Schizosaccharomyces pombe: one gene and its partners. The gene in region 4 interacts genetically with the main gene of each other region. Each region holds a gene or a part of one and is shown on either strand. Other genes may lie near its edges. The genes, in order: ssm4, naa35, pof5 and hmo1.

The links.
Region 1: mutations in hmo1 (region 4) and ssm4 impair growth when combined (synthetic growth defect), as found in Schizosaccharomyces pombe (one large-scale study listed by BioGRID).
Region 2: mutations in hmo1 (region 4) and naa35 impair growth when combined (synthetic growth defect), as found in Schizosaccharomyces pombe (one large-scale study listed by BioGRID).
Region 3: mutations in hmo1 (region 4) and pof5 impair growth when combined (synthetic growth defect), as found in Schizosaccharomyces pombe (one large-scale study listed by BioGRID).

What each region holds. Positions count from the first base shown.
Region 1 is NC_003424.3:4,534,121-4,538,736, forward strand, and holds ssm4 (dynactin microtubule-binding subunit, p150-Glued Ssm4), read right to left. Parts: upstream 2,617-4,616; 5' UTR 2,567-2,616; coding exon 554-2,566; downstream 1-553. Other genes in the region: thioredoxin family protein But1, read right to left, coding at 1-128; RNA polymerase II-associated Paf1 complex subunit Tpr1, read right to left, coding at 3,015-4,616. UniProt on the Schizosaccharomyces pombe protein: Binds to nuclear microtubules with the effect of either modifying their structure or function. This then promotes meiotic nuclear division.
Region 2 is NC_003423.3:4,131,629-4,139,143, forward strand, and holds naa35 (NatC N-acetyltransferase complex subunit Mak10), read left to right. Parts: upstream 1-2,030; 5' UTR 2,031-2,090; coding exon 2,091-3,785; intron 3,786-3,830; coding exon 3,831-4,262; 3' UTR 4,263-4,352; coding exon of another isoform or gene 4,353-6,899; 3' UTR 6,900-6,957; downstream 6,958-7,515. Other genes in the region: ARS-binding protein Abp2, read left to right, coding at 74-1,657; RNA-binding protein Prp24, read right to left, coding at 4,353-6,899, 6,958-7,223, 7,348-7,515. UniProt on the Schizosaccharomyces pombe protein: Component of the NatC N-terminal acetyltransferase.
Region 3 is NC_003424.3:2,731,831-2,735,704, forward strand, and holds pof5 (F-box protein Pof5), read right to left. Parts: upstream 2,031-3,874; 5' UTR 1,741-2,030; coding exon 694-1,740; 3' UTR 543-693; downstream 1-542. Other genes in the region: plasma membrane calcium ion import channel Cch1, read left to right, coding at 1-453; nog2 (ribosome export GTPase), read right to left, coding at 2,279-3,097, 3,502-3,874.
Region 4 is NC_003423.3:1,587,317-1,591,407, reverse strand, and holds hmo1 (upstream binding transcription factor, RNA polymerase I specific, Hmo1), read right to left. Parts: upstream 2,124-4,091; 5' UTR 2,050-2,123; coding exon 2,020-2,049; intron 1,879-2,019; exon of another isoform or gene 1,828-1,878; coding exon 925-1,827; 3' UTR 501-924; downstream 1-500. Other genes in the region: DNA-directed RNA polymerase II complex large subunit Rpb1, read right to left, coding at 1-26, 66-138, 179-204, 240-254; ngg1 (SAGA complex subunit Ngg1/Ada3), read left to right, coding at 3,066-4,091.

The DNA of each region.
Region 1 (4,616 bases), on a different chromosome or scaffold from region 4:
CGCGTTTCTTCATCTTTCGTAGAGCTTCTTCTTTTTTTTGTAGATTTAACTCTTAAAGTACAATTTTTCTCGTGAACAGCATCACGAGTCGAAATGGGAAACTGGAAAAGGTTTTGGTCGATTTCCATTTTCTAACCCTTTCTCTGCAAGAAGGTGAAGAAACGCTTGATACGCTTTAATAGAAAAAAGGTAACAAAAAAAAATAATATCGCTACCGTGCAATGTGAAACAAGCAGTTTCCCACTCTTAAAGTGGTTGGTTTAGGGTAAGTAAACTTGTTTATTTACATGATTCTCACGTCGACAATTAATCTTCAAAGTCGATCTAATTGGCCAAAAGTACGTTAGTTTAATACAAACATGAACCAATCAAATACTCAACCCCATATTTCGTTAATGCATAACAGGTCACAAAAGAGGTTACAAGTCGATCTTAAACTTAAAGCAACACCATACAGTACATTAATGATAAATTCGTTAAAATATGGCAGTTAAGATTAGAAGCTAATTTTCGGCGGCTATTAATAAATTGAATTATATATCTCATTAAAAGATTAGCATTTTTTGGAAAGAATGTCTGTTAACTGACAATAATTAAATAGCTGTTGATTGTGATGAAAACTGGGTCGCTCGATATCTTTTTTCCAATTCAAGGCCAGCTGCTTTTCTACTGAAACGGGTTTAATATCTGCAACTAATTTTCTTATCTCCTTGCAGGCAAAGGTCAATGGGCTTGGAATTGAGTTTTCAGTATTAGAATCCCGTAAACTGTGTTTGAGCCAGTCTATATTTTCACTAGTATTGTCACCTTGTGGATATTTATCGGCCAGTTTCATCCTTGCGGTCTTTAGCTGTTCTCTTAAATTACAAAGATTTTTCTCATACTGTGTCTTTAATGTTTCAAATTCTTTCAATGTTCTAGAAGTGATTTCAGAGTTAACTTCATTCTCGTATGATTCAATTTGTTCTTTTAAACGTTGGTTCATTTCTGTAAGGTCGTCTTTCATACTACTTTCCTCCTCCACTTGTTTTGATAGTTTCAATTTTGCACTGTTTAACTCGTCTATTACAATATTTGCTTTCTCAAGTTTTGCATTTAATTGCAATAATTCCTCTTGAGAGTCTGATAAGCATAGTTTCAAATGTTTAACTTCTGTCAAAGCAGGTTGAGAAGATATTAGTAACTGAGATAGCCTTTGAGTTTCCTCTTGCACCTCATTTAACTTTTCCGATTGTCTTGCTTCTATTTCAGTGTTTAGCTGATTCAAAGTTTCCAAGTCTTGAATTTCTTCTGTTAGTTTTAATACTTTATGAGACAACAAAGCATTTTCCTCCAACAGTTGCCTTCTTGTCTTCACACCATCCACTGAAGAGTTGTTGGACTTTAAGTTTAATAATTCTTGATAAACTGTGCTATTCCAATGTACAAAATTTTCATTTGTTAATGAAAATTGTAAATCCAAACTTCCCGGTACAATATTTAAGTATCTATTCACGTTAGATATTGTCAATTTCTCAGAAAACGGGTTTTTAGGAATTTTTACAAGCTCAGTTATGTCGACCTGAACCTGTTTTAATTGCAAAACCTTAGAAACCTCTGAGACCCCAAGGAGACTAGATGGTGTAACTTGTGTAGTCCAGTTGTCCTGGCTTTTAGGAGTTTTGGAATTCAAACTTCGATCAGAGTACTTATAATTAGGAATCTTTCGAATTTGCAACTTTCGCTTTCTTAGATACTTTATTTCTTTCTGCATAGCCAAGAATTTTTTGAGAAACTTTTCACGCCTAAAATTCCGAGGTTTTTCAATACTGTTTTTACTGCGAAGGAATGTCAACTGAGGTTCAACTTTCTCTAATTCCTTATTTAATTTATCAATTTTTTCTTTTAAGGCGGTATTTTCACACATCAATTCATCCAAACGACCCTTCCTTAATTCTGACTTTAAATTCTCTTTTAAATAACTTCCCTTTGAATGAGGAGTAAATTTTTTTTCACATTCCTGCAAAACGTTGTCAACTTGCCATACAAATTCCTCTTCCATAAAACTACTATCGTCAAGCCCAGACAATTTGCTCGTATCTGAGTTTAACAAAGTAGTGTCAAAACTTGATAATTCTTCTGTTGAAAAATTTAGCTCATCTAGATTTTCAGTTGTAGATGAAGTATAAAACGTAGCTGTCTTTGTGGGAGTAGACGAATCAATAGGTGTAATGCACAATGGGCGTGCCAATGATCTTTCAAATTTTGAGGGCTCCCTACGTGATTTTTGTTTAATTGCTTTAGTTTTTTCCATAAAATTTGATATGTTTTCTGATCCTTTTTTCCTTGACTTGACGACACTTGGTCTTTTCATCACATTCGAAGAGCATGCGCGTACAAATATCCCTTTTCCTTTCTCACATGAAAAATATCGTTTCCCTTTTACGCTTCCATCATTTTTTCCTTTTCCATTTAACAATTCTACGCCTAACCAAATACCACTTTCAAAATCAGTACTACCGGCAAATCGAACTATTCCTAATTCTCCACGGATGAGGACTTCATCCCCGACGGACAAATAACTCATTTGAAAAAAAAGAAAGGCTCAGAAAGTACTTGATAAAATGGTTAGAAACTGTGAGATTAGTGTGGGGAGGGGGGAACAATGTTTGCAATACAGGCGCGCTAAAATCATCACTATGTTGCACAGTTGAGCATGTTAATCACCAATGTTCAAATCACTTTTAACACGCATGTTAATGTTATTTAAGTAGAATGAAACGATTCTTGGGTGAATAAACCTATTAGTTCTTTTTGAAAGGGTGGATAGAAAAAAACAAATCTAGTCTAAAAAGCGTAAATGAATGACAAGAGCTTTTGTATACAAAAAATTAATTTAAATGATATTATTACACGAGATCATAAATCATATATATGACAGACAACAAATAACTGAAGGGAGAAAGTTAATATGCCATTGAAATAAGAAAATTCTTATCTGAACGGCATAATTCAAACAGCAATGAGCATAATTATTATTCTTCATCCTCTTCAGAGAATAGATTTAACTCTTTATTGTCATCTTGATTGTCTGTGATATCGTTATCCTGCTTTTCTTCGATAGTACGAGAAACCTCCTCTTCTTGATTTCCCTCCGCGTCACTATCCTGGTCAAAAGTATACTCTTCGGATATGACTCTTCTATTAACACGACGTTTTTTAGTTTTATTTCTGGCATCGCTCAATGGTATTTCATCATCTTCGCTTACTCCGCTATCCGAGGATTCCTGTTTCGATTTAGATTTACGCTTTTTTCGATCTTTCTTTTTCTTCTTGCCTGACTGTTTTTCTTCGTCATCAGACAAGCTCATATCATCTTCAGAAGCCTTCTGCTGACTCTTTCTCCACTCCAAAACTTCTTCTTGCATCTTTTGTCGCTCTTCCTGAAGTTGCCTCTCACGTTCTTGCTTTTCCTTAAGTAAAGCTTCTTCCTCTGCCAATCTTCGAGCCTTCTCCTTTTCCCTTTGAATCCTAGCATCTTCAAGTTTGGCAGCAACACTCTTCTCATATTCGATTTGCGCTTGAATAGCGCGCTCCAATTGACGCTTAGTAGTATTTTTAGCCATCTTTGCACGTTGTTCAATACTGGTAGGAGAATAGGGTGGATGTTCGACAGACACCAGTTTGGTAAAAGTTTCAATCGATGCGTCAAGCTGTTGCATTGCAAAGTTCAGATCCTCAACAGTTCTACTGTTCTCGGGTTTCTGACGGATGAGCTCACATAGCTGGAATTGTACAAAGGCAACGTTAAATAAAAGGCTTGGATTCTCGGGATTTTTTTCTAAAGCTAATGTAGCATATCGCACGGATTCTTTTAAATAGTCGACGTTTTTGCTTTCGCGACCACGCTGTAGCCAAACTCGGCCTAAACAGCTCAATACACCATAAGTATCACTTTCTCCGGTACTAGAATACACGGTTTCAAATACCTCAATAGCACGACTGAACTGTTTGAGTTCTGCAAGGCAATTGCCAATGTTTATGAGTGTTGTAGCATCCTTAATTGCTTCACGAACCTTACTCAAAATAAGTAGAGCTTTAGAAAATTGCCTGTTTTGTGCTAATATAATGGCAATACCCTGGGCAGCGTGTGCGTTTTTTGGATCAAATTTAATAGCTTGATCATAAGACTGAATAGCTTTGATGTAAAGTTTTTGCCTTTTTAACTTTTCACGATCATTATGTACACGAAACTCTCTTGCCTGTCTCATATAGGCATTACCGAGTTGAACTAGGGAGTAAATGTCATCGTGCCAATGTCTAAGGGTCTGAGAGCAGTGTCTAACTTCAGGATCTTCTACTGGGCGACGCTTTTGTTTACTCAAATACCAACCAAAAAATGCTCGAACCTCTAAATTTTGAGAATCTGCGTTCATGATATGACGAATTTCTTTAAACGTTTCCTCGTTAGGATTGGATAACTGAAGTAAACATTTGCGAATACGGGCATCAATAAAAGATGGATGTTTTTCGAGAATCGAAACATACGCTTCACTAGCTACAGAAGTGTTACCCAATTCTTCTTCACAACGTGCAAGATTGTAATCCAAGAGCAAGCTTAATTCAGGATTGGCATC
Region 2 (7,515 bases), 2.5 Mb from region 4:
TTACTTAATAATCCAACGTTTATCTATCTGTCTTTTTACATTTTTTATTGTTTTTTAAAGCAATTAATCAAGGATGAACTTTTATTCCTTGTTGCCATCTAGACATGATGTTAGCGCGGATAATATTACTGAAAAGTTCTGCCAATTCTGTCTTTGCTGCAATCCCTGGTATGCAGGTGCTGACACGAGGCAATTAGCAAATGCATTCAATATGATTCCTAAATCAGAGGGTCAAAAATTTGAGATTTGGGTCTTATTTCTCCTTGTCCGGCAATACCACCAAAAAATAATTAACTCTTGGTCCAAGCTGGTGGGTTTTCTTGGTGTGGAACGAAAAGATGAACAATCTACTCAAAAAATACAACAGTATGTTGTTCGTTTAAAACGGTGGATGAGTCAAACACATGTTGATGCTTTTTTCGATTATCTCCTGAATAAACCAAATCCTTATTATCTCGAAATTCCTGAAACCCAACCTCAAGTTCGATGCAATGTAAATGTAACTGATGATTTGGTTATTAAATCTTTACGTGCAGGCTTAATGTCTCATCCAGATGTTAACTCTTCCTCCATCTCCACAATGCGCACGTCAACCTCCCCTTCTAACTGGATTCATTCAGCTAGTGCTAGTTTAGACGACAACACTCACAATCTTGGTAGCTTTGTCACAAACCCTCATGCAGATTCCCAAGAATGCCCTACCCCTCAATCCCTTTTAATGAGAGCGTCCCATCACATGTCTGAACGAGGTTCTCAACAAGCACATCAGACAACTCCTCAAAACCATTCTCTCCCACATCCTCCAAATATGTTTGAACCACCTGACGAAGACCATCAGTTACCTTCCGCAGCCAACAATTCACATAACCATGATCACGCTTTTCAAACTGCTGAAGCAGTTGGCGTTGCTGATTCCATTGATCCTGACTGGCATCAATGGCCTGATGATTTACGAGACGTTTCTTCACCCAAAGAAAGTGACGGGTTGAATGATTCTTGGTCTCGACAAACCAATCAAGTAGAAACGGAAAATGTTGAAAATGAAGCAGGAGTCCCTCGTAAACGCGGGCGTCCGCCAGGAGCTCGTAACAAAATTAAACGGCTGAGATCTGAACCATCTGTGTCATTAACGCTAAGTATCTCTTGGTATGAAAGATTTGAAAAGTTGATGCATGCTCAAAATACAATGCTTCGCTCTGCATTTTCACATGTTGCTCGTCTGCCCATGGAAACGGTTTCTCAACTTTTATCACACTATACTGAAACGATATCCCAATATCTTCCTCCCTCCGAAACTTCGCCGATCCCCAAAACTCCCAATTTTAAGTTCATCTCAAGTACTCTTTTAGCCCTGGTCTCTTCTCATTCCGAAATCCTTGAAGCCAGTACCGATCGCTTAATTTGGACCGTTCATCAAGGACCATTAACAGCTACTATATGTCATGCATTCAATTTGGAAAAAGCGCCGAGTATGCACTCATTAGCAGAAGCTCAGATGATTCCCGATGTCCCTATATCTCATTCAAATTCAATGGAGCCTTTAGACACTGTTTCCTCATTAAAATTAGAAATTGCCAAACTGAATGCGGCCCTAAAAGAAAAAAATTTAGAACTCGAAAATTTAAAGAGAAAGATTATGAATGCAGTGTTTGACTGAAATCACGATTCTTCCATGCATGTATCTATTTATGCAGTACACTTTGCGACTGCACGTTCCACGAACTGGTGCAATTTCAAAGTTACAAAATTCTCATGTTCAAAAAAGCATAATTGTTTAAAGTATTTATTTTGTTTTCCTTCTCTTTATTTTATAAAAAGTTTTTAGATATTCTACTGCTAGGTGAGATGGGTTACCATCGAGATAGTTTTTTACCTTTGCAGATACAAGTAAAATAATTTCAAATTGGATTTATCATTGTTTTTATTATTATTGAAAAAATTACCATCTTATTTACTCTCGAAAATGTTATTGAACAAGCATTTTTATGCGTGGAATTTTTGTTGTGACTTACAGAGTAACACTTTTCATTAACCCATAAACTAGACGTTCAATAGAAAATTGGTCAATATAGGGGTGTTTTGTCGATTTTATGTCTGTTAAAGAGTCCCTATCATTGCTTAATTCTATGCAAGGAAATGTGAAGATTGGAAATGTGGAACCGGCCAAAGGGAACGAAGGTTATGTTGATAACGCTGGATATGTCGACTGTACAAAGTCTTACTTTGAAGCCACGAAATCTCTGAAAGAGGAACAGCTAGTATGTGATCCAAAATTTACATTATTGGATTCAATCAGTGCCTTTGAAATTATGGAACCGAAAATGGATAGTGGGATTGATTATCAGCCACTTCGTGTAGATTTTTCACGTGATCTCTCTTACTTGGAAATATTAGCGTTAATGGATTTAATTGTCTCTGCGGAAAAAGAGTGGCATTATGGATCCCCCTTATCAGAGAGCTTACTCTGTAGTGCCCATGTGTTCTCCATTTGCAAGTCGCCTATTTCACAAGTGGGTGACAGTGGCTTCTCCAGTGGTAGCGGAAGGAATACAACTGACATCGTTCTTTTCCCTTTTGTTTTGGCTGTTATTAAATGTTGCGATATTGTTCATCGAGAATTTCTGATGGGAAATTTATATGACGAGGAAGACATTAGTTCGTTTTCATATCACATGTCCTTTCTTCAAAATTACCCCATAGAAAAACTCAATTATCTTTTGCAATCTAGCATCGAATATTTGGCTTCCGAGGTTATAAAATTTTCTGCCGAGTTACGACAAATTATCGAGGGAATTCTCAATAGAATACAACTTCGAATTGGTATTTTACGAGTGTATGAAAGGAGTGATATTAAGACCACCATCGATGCTCTCCATCTGATCAAAAATTTGGTACCCGAGATTCAGAACACGGTTTCGGTAGTTGATTCATCTATCAAGGAGAGCATATTAAAGCAATATTGGGATTTTCGCGTCCAAGCCCAATTAGTTGCTACAGCTCCTGTGAGGAATATTCCTCCTACTGGCATTGAGCATTCTTATCAACGAATTTTGTATTTTGCTGATGATATGCTTTTGATTTTGAATAGCCACACTCTCGCTTCTTCCTTGGCAGTATATCAGTTTTGTTTAGATTTTACGAGATTGAATCGTACTCCAGAGCCTTACGTCCGTTCCTCCCTTCAAGCACTTATCACTGCTAACAATGCAGTTAATCTAAGGGATCAACCTACTTCGTATATGTTAGAATGTATTCGTGAGTTTTCTGGGCTTCCTTCAAATTTTTATAATCCTAACACCCGTACAGTAATCGAAAAAAACTCTATCTCATCAGCCTATGGTCCGCTAGTTGAGTCTTTGATTGCTCATTCAACTAATATCATGGTTGACCTTGTCCGAATTTGTTCCCACAATCCCTGTCGGTTCCGCCGTAATCTAATAAATTTACTTCCTGAAATTACCGTTGCTCATTTTGAAGCTGAAGCGCTTGATTTGAAATTCGTAGCAAAAAGCCTACCAAGTAATGGACCGTTTTCATCATTTATTTACCATGTTAAGCTAAATGCAATTGAGCATATCTTGCTTTCTTCCTTTGAACAAAAACTTCACCAACCATATCAATGGCCCCATTTTTTTGCTGTGCTTGATCATGTCTTTTCTATCCACCAGACTCATTTAGAGCTTCATGGAAAGGATCGTAATACCCCACCTATGGCCAAAACCTTTGTTACATATTTGCATCGAATATTGAATGCTATAAAGGAGACCTATTCTGGCTATTTACTAGTATGTATAAAGCTTATCGCTTCTTTTTTATTCTAACGATTTTAGCTGACGGTGCTTTGTATGCGGTTGAATATCATTAAAACTCCTTCATTTACTCTTGATGAAAAAATTCAAGAGTCATATTACATGGCCCATTATCGTCCTTTAATTAATTTGCGTCAACCCAAGCCACTACTTCGTTCGGAAGCTGATTGCATAATCAAAAATCTTCAAAATTTCTCTACGGATGATTTAATCATCAAATCTAATGAAAAATTCACTGCTGCAAAGAATAGCCTTATTAATGTTATAAAATCCGGTTTTGAACAGAATGAGTTCATCAACCCGTATTTCTTGCAAACCAACTATTTAAAAAATTTATTATGTTGCTGCATTACAAATCTGGTTTCACTTGCAATCTTATCCAAAGATCATAGTGCTAATCTAAAAATAGTGGAAATACCTGGAAATCCGCTCCCAAGTCTTTCACGTACATGAGGTGTTGTTCGTCTTTTATGTTAATAAATCAAAATTATCAAAAGTTAGGTTTTCAATATTTTTTTAATCATTCAATCTAATTATTGCTGACTATTTTAAAAACATTTTCCTAAAATCATCGTTGCTTTTAGGTGCATCTATCTGCATTTCTTTATCGTCTAAATCGTCCTTCTTAGAATTTATATTGGAATGATTGGAATTGAAACCTTGAAACGTTCGGCTTCCGAGTCGCCGTGGGCGTGTAGCAGAGGTATTGTAATCGGAATGATTCATACTAGATGGGACATTGTGCATCATTTCATTGACAGTGGTAATGTGTAGTAACCTGCCACCAATTTCATGTCCTTCTAATGCCAAGGATGCCTTTCCCGCATCATGAATATCCAAAAACTCTACTACAGCACCTTCATGTTCAGGATGAAGAACAACTCTATACAACTTTCCGTAGCTTTCGAATAAACTTCTAAGTCTAGCCTCGTTAACAGTCCCGTCGACATTAGTGACTCCTAGGCTTTTGCTTTTGATTTGTTCGAATGATTTTTTTGGCGTTGACATTTTATTTGACTCAGTAGTCTCAAAGCTTTTAGCTAAGGTTCGGTTGTCATTGGATGATACCCTTGTTTTCTCTAGAGATTCTCGAGGCTTCGACAAAACAACGTTCAAAACTCTATTTCCCAATTGCTTTCCAGCAGCAGAAAGTGCATTTTCAGCATCTTGATTTGTAGTCATTACCACATATCCAAAACCTTTATGTTGATTAAATCTTTTCGGTATTCGAACACTCTCAACCTGCCCATAATCCCTAAAAAATGTTTCTACGTCTTTTTCATTTACTTTAAAATCAATATTTGTAACGTAGAGTTCTCTACCCTCATAGACAGCACCGCTTCTAGGAGTTCGCCGAAGCGGGTCTGATATAAAGACTTGAATAGGATACTTCTCTTCCAATAGCTTCTTATGTAACTGCAGGGCATTGTGTGCCTCATCGGGCTTTCTCATTTGTACATAACAAAAACGCCTGTTCGTGTTATACCTTAGACTAGGAAAACGGACGTCAACCACATTACCATATGCAGAAAATAATTTGGTTATATCTAATTCATCATAAGTCGGAGGAAAATTGGTAACGTAGAGGTTCGTGTCTACATGAATTTGAACAGAAATTTCATGACCCCTTATCGATTTAAGGTCTCTTGTTTTAGCAGCAAGAACTTCACTGGTTTCAGAAAATTCAATCTGAGCCACTTTAACATCCTTTTGATTGTCTTCGAGGATAAAAATGCGTATAATATTACCACAATCTTTGAAAAAAATTTTCAACTCATTTTCGCTTATATCGGAAGGTAGATTGGTAACCAAAACTGTAAGTTCTTCCCTATTCCTGTGTTGCTCAATAGGTTTCGACTTTTTGAACACATCACCTTCTTGCCCAGGTTTTCTTTTCTTTGAAAGGGCGGCTGTATCATCAGCTTGAGGCACTTTTAGTGGTTCGGTGTTTTCGACAGTCTGCTTCGTTTCTTCAGCAAAAGAATCCAATTGACGTTTGAAGCTAATCCTCTGTGCATTTAAAACGTCATATAAATGTGATGTGTTTGTGAAACAGTCATTATTAAGGTCCATAATGGATTGATAAAATTGGAACAGAAGTTGAGGCTGATCAACGTTTTTGTAAAGGCTTTTTTTTAACGTCTCAGCCGCAAGCTCTGGGTTATACTTCATCGTACTTATGTATCGAGAAATCCAATATAATGCCTGATTTTGAAAATCATGAAACATATCAGACCAGCACTTTTCTACGCTTTCAAAATCAGAGATTTCTGAATATAAATAAATTTTTGAAAGTTCAATGCGCATTCTTGCATCCTTTGATCCCTTATGATTTTTTCGCAAATAGTCTTCGACTTTATGAATTTGATGTTTCAAAAATTCCTGTGGCTTATCTTCATTAGAAGACAAATATAGGCATGCTTTTAAAAATCCGCTAAAAAAATCAATAACCTCGTCAAAATTTACGAGCAAATTTGAATTCAAACATCGATCTTTCTCTTCACAGACAGCCGATGTGGATGCTCCAGAAAGCGTCATATAAGTCAGTTTAATGGACCAAATACGCCCAATCCATGAACAGTTACGAGTAGCTCGTTCTGCTACACTGGACGCTTGAGAAGAAGAAAAATCCACTTTACTAAGCCAGGCAGTGTATTGCAACCAGAGTTCCGGAATGAGGGGATACAAAACTATGGCACGCTCATAGAGAGTTGTTATATATTGTAACTCAGCTGTTGAGCGTCGCGATTCATCATTAATTAAATCCATATACGCTTCGAGAGAATGATTTGCGCTGTTTAACAATAGTTCTTTATTAAAAATTTTTGCATTTCTTTTAAGTGTAGTCTCATACACTTTATTGCTTTTCACCATAACATCCTCATATTCGGAAGGAGACCAGTTATTTGTGACAAACGTTGATAAAGAAGTAAACGTTTCTTCAATCTGCTCATGTGGAAGTTTTAATCTATCAATATGAAAATCATATATCTTGTTTTTAAAAACAATTTCTTGCTCTTCTTCTCCCTCAAATAGAGCATCACCGAACGTCTGTAAAAATTCCAAATATAACGTCCAAACACATTGACTCTGTAAACATTGATTAGTAAATACATTTTTATCATGAAGAAAATTTTTAGTTCCTTACTTTAGAAAAATGAAATTTGCAAGTTTGGTATGCACGTTCAAAAAGAGAATGGGCATCTGTCAAAGTAATAACGCCGTTTAATTCAGACTGTTCTTGTTCAAAAGAAGAAGTGTCCATTAAGTTTAGCGTAAATTCAAGATACATACACCAAATTTTGATTGACAGATAATCTTGAACTGCCAAATCAAACAATGTTTTTATCCTCACATAGTCGTCTAAAGTCCTACAGTTTTTGCACTCATCTAAAAGGTAATCTACCCACAAATCTAAAAACCATTAATAAATGCTTGTCAAAAGATTAACAAAGTTAAAGTAATTAGTGAATAATTTTTGCGAGTCTATGGAATTCGCCTCAACACGCTTTACCTAGACGATTGTTGATTGACATACCTTCTGAAAGTGGAAAGATCGATTGAAAAGTCTTTCTAGCCTCTGACAACTCCTTCTTTTTATCTAGACGCTTTAACTCTTCAATGAGTTTAATATGACTATCATAATTATAGGGATGTAAAATCGTAAATTTGGTCAATTCATCCAGAAGCAAAGGCTTTTTTTCGT
Region 3 (3,874 bases), on a different chromosome or scaffold from region 4:
AAGAAAGCTTTAGAAAATCCTTTCATACTTTTGAGTGAAGTTTCTGAGATTTTACCCGAAACACCCATTCAAGAAGTCCTTCGCCAACATAATGCTGATCCAGAGCAACTTTTAATGTCAACTAGAACACCTTCAGTTAGTGATCGCAGTTTCTCCATCGTTGAATCGACTGTACCGACAATCGCTTCGGGTGAAGGTGATGATAACCATAGCGTGGAAGATCATTTGAAGGTACCAACTGATAATGAACCTCGAAGATCACCTTCTCTCAAAGAAGTCCTTCTTCGTGGATCTCATTCTTTACATTCAAATAACGACCGAACTTCATTTGACATCGAAGCAGGATTTGGAACTGCTGAAAGCGATTTCCAATTTGGCGGAGCGACAGAAGATATCAATCGCATAGCTGACCGTATAGATGATTATTTAGATCGGGATTCATTTAAAGGATAAATGGGCTGTATGGCTTTTATAATCAAACCCAAACAACATAGAAAGTTTACCAAAAAATATCATAAAATGAATACTAGTAGTTTTAAGATGAAAAAATTATATAAATATAAAAAGCAAAAATCCTAATGAAAACAATTTCTAAAATTAATGAATATGTCTGCTAGAGACTTTTGAAAGTAATTTTATTAATATTTTCTCTCGTAACATCAACTTAAAACAAAAACATTAACATCATGAACTTCATTTCACTGTTATAAATACCTCACCATCTTGATCATCAATTAGCTCTAATAAGTCCTGTACATCCTGAGATTCCTCTCTCCATCCTAAACGAATAGACCATTGTAATCGATGCAAATTGGGAAGCTTCCCATCGACCAAAGCGCCCACCAGATCATCAGCTTTGATCAGGCTGATGTTGGTCAATAAGCTCCCTGAATAAGTAATTTCTAAGCTTCGAACATTATGCCCTGACTCAGGAATGCTCTCAAAGGCGGTAGAGGTAATGTAATTAGCAGGAATGCTAATAGTTGTAGCGTTGGGACATAACTGAAAAATGCAATCTAAGCCGCTCCGAGACAATTCGGGCATTGGGTATTGCACACAGACTGAAGACAAATTAGGTCCTATTTTTGAAAGCAAAGAGAAAATGCCTGCATCGGTCAATAGCGGACATTGTGTGATGTTTATACTTTTTAAAGATGGGGGAAAAACAGACTCAGCCAAAAAGTCATCAGTAAGGCCACCAGAAAAGCCCACAAAGGTAAGAGAGCTTGGCCAGCATTCAGTACACATAGGAGCAGGAATTGAAAGATAGGGTAATATGATATACTCAAGATGCTTGAGATGCTGAATACCCCCAAATAGATATTGTAAATCAATTTTTTCAGAAAGGATAGACAGGTCTATCTTTTTTAATTTTTGGCATTGAGAGAATGCTCTTAAGGCCGTAAAACCAAGTCCTGACTGCGGACCTGAAAATGTTTCTAAATTCGTAGCGCACCTTCTCAATAGACGGGATGTTATAGAAGCTTTTGATGCATATGAAACATTGTTTAAACTAATGTGATGCACTAATTTTCTTGTAGGTTTACGGCTAATCGTGTCAACAAACTTATGATAATTACGGGGATTAAGCTTTGGAAAATAATAAATAGCATGTAGGCCTCCAACATATGATGAACGACAAATCCTTAGCAAGCCCCCAAAATTTTTTGCTTCAAACTTGTCAAAACTTATTAAATGATCGAATATGTGATGCCATATTTCAGGAGGAAACGACTGCATCTTTCGGTAAGGCCAAACTAGATATCATTACTCCCAAAAGTTAATTTAAGTGTATAAGCTTTCGATTAAAATTTTGGCAATAACCTTGTCCTAATGTACTGACAATGGTGTTAGGCAGTAGCAAAACCTCAGTCTTCGACGCCAAATAATTGAGTGATAACTTGGTATCTTCAAACAATTTTTTTTTTTTTAAATATCTAAACTTACAAATAATTTAAACGGTAACTGCCAAATAACCTTATATGACTAGTAATTTGCATTGCTCGATACATAAAATGGTGGTAAATGGTAACACTTCATGTGAGAAGAACAAGCAGAATCAGTACCACGCTTAAATTAAAAAAAAAGATTTGACGCAAGATATTGATGAACAATTTGCAAAAGTATTGTATCTAACAAACCGTTTACAATACATCAGGTAGAATTCTATAGAACAATAGCAACTCTTATACATATCACATTATATTTAGTAAACCAATATTATTATTAATATACAAAGACCAACCATAAAAATGATAAATTAAACCAAACCCCCCAATTAACTCCTATTCTTATTATCATCAACAGCACTTTCATCTGTAGACTCAGAAGCACTTCCCTCGGCTACTGGTTTAGTACTTTCAGACTCATCAGCTTTACCATCATCAGAAATTCCATGCCATTCTTCTTCTGCTTCTTCTCCATCCTGATCAGAACCTTCAGTTTGCTGAGTAGCGACTTTTTGCGAAGAATTGATTTCATCGTTTGATGAGGAAAGGCCTTTAGGTCCAATAAACCAAGGGATTTTACCGCGCATAAAATCATTCAATACCATTTTAGCAACCGAAGCTTCATCAGGTTCACCTCCTTTGAGCAAACGGCCTCCCTTCTTCGCAAGTTTAGCAAGAAATTCAGTCGAATCATTCCAACCAGATATTTCATATGTTCTCTCAAGATGCTTCACTTTACAACGACTGAGTACAGTAGGAATATATGCTTCTGGATTACTCACGTTTTCAACTCGGACTACACCTTTCAATAAAAGCTCTGCATCAGAGTCGTTGGAACTGGGTGGGACTATACCAGGACAGTCGATTAAAAAAATTCGTTTCATGAGTGCAACATATTGCCAAACTTTCGTTTCTCCAGGAATGGGAGCAACATTACAAACTTTTTTCTTCCTTAAAGTATTGATGATGCTTGATTTTCCGGCATTCGGAAAACCAATTAACCCAACAGAAATTTGTTTTTTGTCAGAATGTAAAGACGCAAATTGACGAAGAATCTGAATAAGGGACCCTTTACCAAAGGAATTATTTATAGATGCATGGAAAGCAATGGTTGGGTACTCTTTAGCCAATATTTTAACCCAGGCGGCCTAAAAAAGTTAGAAAAAAGAACATTGGTTAATAAAGATATATCTGGTTGTTCGTTGATACATGAAAACAATGTAAGTCTTTACATTTGTAAGTGTGACAACTATATGCAGCGATATACTGCTTGAAACACCGAAATTAAAGCAAAGACAATACAACTATCTCTGATATAGCCAGAACGGCTATATAATTTAGAGACAGTTTGTATACTCTCCCAGAGTTGTAACAGACTTCAATTGACGGGAAATATGCTGAAAAGCATACAAAAGAGTCTTGACTTAACAATGGGCATACTGAATACTATTCCAGCAATTAAATAGAACTAATGCATAACAGATGCATATAGCTTGATCTTTCCATGTATCAAAAACAATGCAAATAGATTTTAAAAACAAAAATGACTTACAGCAACAGAGGTAGGAACAAGATCAACTTTGTTCAAAACCAAAATCATATGCTTATGAGAAGCTTCGTTCCTTAAATAGCGCTCTACGGTTCCACAACGAGTACCTACAGGATCACGCGCATCAAGCACTTGGATTAAAACATCGCTAGAATCAATAACTTTGTAAAGCTCATTCCAAATACGTTTAGATTGTCCTTTGCTAAAAATCGCATCACGAGCAGCAAGCATAACATCATCAGACTCATCGGGATTAGCCAATATACGCTCTTCAATTTTCTCTTCGTAAGCGTTCTGTTTTTCGTCAGACTCTTTAGCCAATTCAGCCACAGAATCGAATGAGATCTTGGGGCGTTTTCTTTGAGATTTAGGGCCA
Region 4 (4,091 bases):
CCACTTTCATCCATGGTCTCAGGAAACTAAAAACGATAAGTGATAAGAACAAAACAAACACTTACCTCAATCTTCGCAACGCTCATTGAACGAATTTCCTCCGGGGACAAGATTCCAAATTGAACCTCCTCCACCCGGCTAATACTGTTAGTAAACGGTACTACTTATAGAAACATACCGTAAGGGGACAGAAGAAGGTGAAAACTATGTATTAGTAATGGTAAATACGTTCAACATACCTGAATCCCGCTCATTCTACCTGAGTTGCAAAGATTAAGTCGTAGGTGGTGTCGGCGAAAATTTAACACAAGAGGACTACTTCACGGTAATCATGACCATAACGAGTTACGTTACACGGTGCAGAAAAGTCAGTATAGGTTTTTATTAGTGTACTAGCCACCCTGTGATAAACAAGATTTATAAATATCTAATAATAATGAAAGTTAACCATTATTTGAAACATGTGCATACAACAATCACCATTCTATAGTACTCCAAAATTTTTTAATGGAAATCATAACAATAAATTAAAAGTTCTCAAAATCATTAAGATACTTTTTATGGCGAAGATAAATTTATTCCTGTATACAGCAGAAAGATCATTGGAAGAATGTAAACTTAAACAAAAATTACCTGTTAGCTAATTATTTATTCTAAGGCTATAATAGATTTCAACCAATATAGATATTATGTGCCTGCCGTTAAACGTTTATATACAACTGCTGTGACCAAAAACGATTATTATGTATTATATAACAACCAGTATTTTTAACAAGCAATATTTACAGACATTAGCAACCTGAGTAATAATAGAGAGCACTCAAATCAGCAATACAAGCAAACACTTGTTGCTAATTAATCATTTCCTATAACTTTAATGTTCGGAACAAGGAAATACACAATTAATGAAATTATCAAGCAAACTCAATTAGCAACTTTGGCGGTAGGGGGAGTGGTAATGGAAGAAGACATCGAGCTTTTGCGACGTTTCTTTTTTTCCCTTTTCGCTGATGGCGGATTGGGGCTAGAAACGATTTTGTCAGGAGAGGGTTGAGGTTGAGAAACTGGTTCAACATTGCTTGTAGGTACTGTTGAACGGGTGTGCTTTCGCTTCGGTTTCTTAGCATGCTGTTCTTTAATGTCAGGAGTGGCTCTAGAAGCTTGAGCCAATGGTCTGGTTTCTGAAAAGTCTATCAAATCTTTTTTAGTGGGAGAGGATAAGTCTTCTGAAGGTTTAGTAGAAGTTTCCTCAGCCGTAACTCGACTATCAGCAACTGACGCATTTTCTTTAGAAGCATTATAAGCAGCCATTTCTTCTTCGTAGGCTTCTCGAAGTTTAGAAGCTTCTTCTTCGTAAGTTTTCCGATCATCTTCAGATAGCGAGCCCCACTTTTCATGCATCGCTTTATTCACCTCTTTAACATCGTTACTCTTCTCGCCCAAAGACTCCTTGATTTCCGATCGTTGGTTCTTCTGAAAGAGATTATAGGCTGATGGAGGGCGCTTTGGTTGTGCAGGATCCCTAGCCTTGCGCTTGTTTGGGGTCATGGAGGCTACAGCTTCCGACGTATCGACTGCGGAGGTTGCCTCAACAGGAGCTACTGCTGCAGGAGTAGCTTTCTTAGGTGAAGTTGCTTTTTTAGAAGGAGACTCAATTGCCATATTAATCTCTTTCTTCGCATTTGATGGATCAGTGACGGCTGGCTTAAAAGGTTTCGAAACCTCGGACTTCTCTCCTAATATCGAAGGAAGTGATTCTTCGATCTCACGGCATGCGGTTAAAGCTAACTGAAAAGCTTCCGCCAACCTTGTGAAAGAACCAGAAATCTAAGACGGCAATTTGTTAGATAAAAACCAAAAACCAAGCGGATAACTAAAGAAAATTTTGCATTTAATCATCAAACTTTTCAACCAATTAAAAAAGATTATTTTTAGTAAATACTTGATTTAAATCAATTTTTTGAATCATAAAACATTATGTTGGTTCAAAACACCAAAACTCTTTAAAATATCACATACCTTTTCCAGTTGGGTTGAGTTTTGAGCCATCGTACTACTTAAAAAATATTCAAAGTTTCTAATACAACTAAAGCTTCAATACGATGGCAAATACAGGAAATGGTGGCTGACCTACCGGGGTGATGGCGGGAATTTAAATCTTAGCGGTTATGACGGTGGGTGGTTGGTTAATGCTGGAAATGCGAAGCAGATGAAATTGCTTCAGTTAAACCCACCAGTTCGGTTGAGCTTTCTTCACATTTTATTATTATTACAGTTTATAGTTATTTAATATATGTGACAATTGTTATTGTTGAAATTACGATGGTTCAGTGAGATATTTCTTCATGTGATTCTGTTGAGTGATATAATGAAAATTACAAAAGACAATTGTAGTAAATTAAATATATAATAGGAAAATATGAGAAAATCTACAACCGAGAAAAATTTTTTTTTTTTTTTTTTTTTTTTTTCTTTTTCTAATCTCAATCCACTAAATTTGCTGAGACTTACAGTCAAATAATGTCCCATAAATGGAAAGAATAGCAATAAAAACATCCAAAATTTAAAAAAAAAAAATGATAAAACATTTTCTTGTAAATATTTACCTCTTAATTAAGTATAAACAAATCCTATTCCATTGACTCGTAGATCTATTTCATGATATCTTGTGAAGCTGCAACTCTGTTTATCTAGTTCTTGCGCTAGACCAATTGGTTTAGAAACTATTAAATTTAAGATAAATTTAATTTTAAACAAACCAAAGATCACTTATAGTGTTCAAAATACTTCGCAAAGCATATTGCTTTTGCGATGGATTCACTATGAATAAAATATATTGCTGTTTAATTTGGTTTGAGATATCATATTCGTAGCAATTCAACGCTGTTCTTGATTAATATTTCTGAGCACCGTTATAACAATGTAACAAGTGGTATACTAGACTTCGCTAAAAGTACGCCATCATCGAAATCCGGTATAAAAAATCACCACCTCAGTAATGAATTTTTTCGGGGGAGAGAGACATATGTAAATGTTGTATTGTTCACGATTTAAATTTTTTTGGGATGTCCTCCGAACAACAAAATGAAGCTGATTCGAAACCCGCGGTGATTCCTCAATGTTTTAAAATTGAAAATCAATACGAGACCTTTTCCCGTCTGAGTGAAACGTCAACTCCTGGTGTTGTACCGTCTGTGTCGACATTATGGCGGCTTCTGTTTGAGCTGCAAAAAATGATTGAGTGTGAACCGTCTTGTGTAGAATATTTTCGCCAGCGCAAAGAAGAGTTAGAGTCTCATGTCGATTCTGAAATAGAAACCTCAAAAGACGAATCGTCGGTTAATAAAGTGGAAGAAAAAGTAGAAGAATTTAAAGAAGACAACGTTGAACAAGAAATAAAGCAAAAGCGTTCTCTTTCCGAAAGTCCACAAGAGTCTATGCTAGAAAAAGTTTCCAAGAAGCCCAAAGTTTCAGAGGCCCATAATGAAGAAATCAGTCCCGAAAATGTGGAAACAATTGAGAATGAATTAGATTTACCGGTTAAGGGTAAAGATGAACAGACAACTGGGTTGGTATATAAAAACGCAAACGATCTTCTAACCGGTTCATTACTATCTTTCATTGTTGACGATTCCTTCTCTTATGAACAAAAAAAGAAGCTTTTATGTGTAGATTCCTTTCCAACCAGTGATGTACGATCGTTGGTGGCAGGAACTCCGGCGACTGATGATTTTTCTCACAACAAGCCAAATAACCAGATTTCAATATCAACCTTTTATTCGTCACTTGACCCATATTTTCGTGCTTTCAATGATGATGATATTGCTTTTTTAAAAAAAGGATTTGACGTTTCGTCTTCCTATAATATTCCTCCTTTGGGGGAACGCTATTACGATTTAACTCCGGAAGATGAAATGACCAACCTGTGTGCTAACTCAATTTACCAAAACCTGCAAACCTCTGCTCAAGGATCCCTTGAAGCTTTTAATGAGGCAGATACCGTCTCTGAGGAAGTTAGGTGTGGTCCACTCACTGAACGACTAATGGCTTCATTAATTCCTTGCTACACGCAGAATGATGAGGAGCAAAAA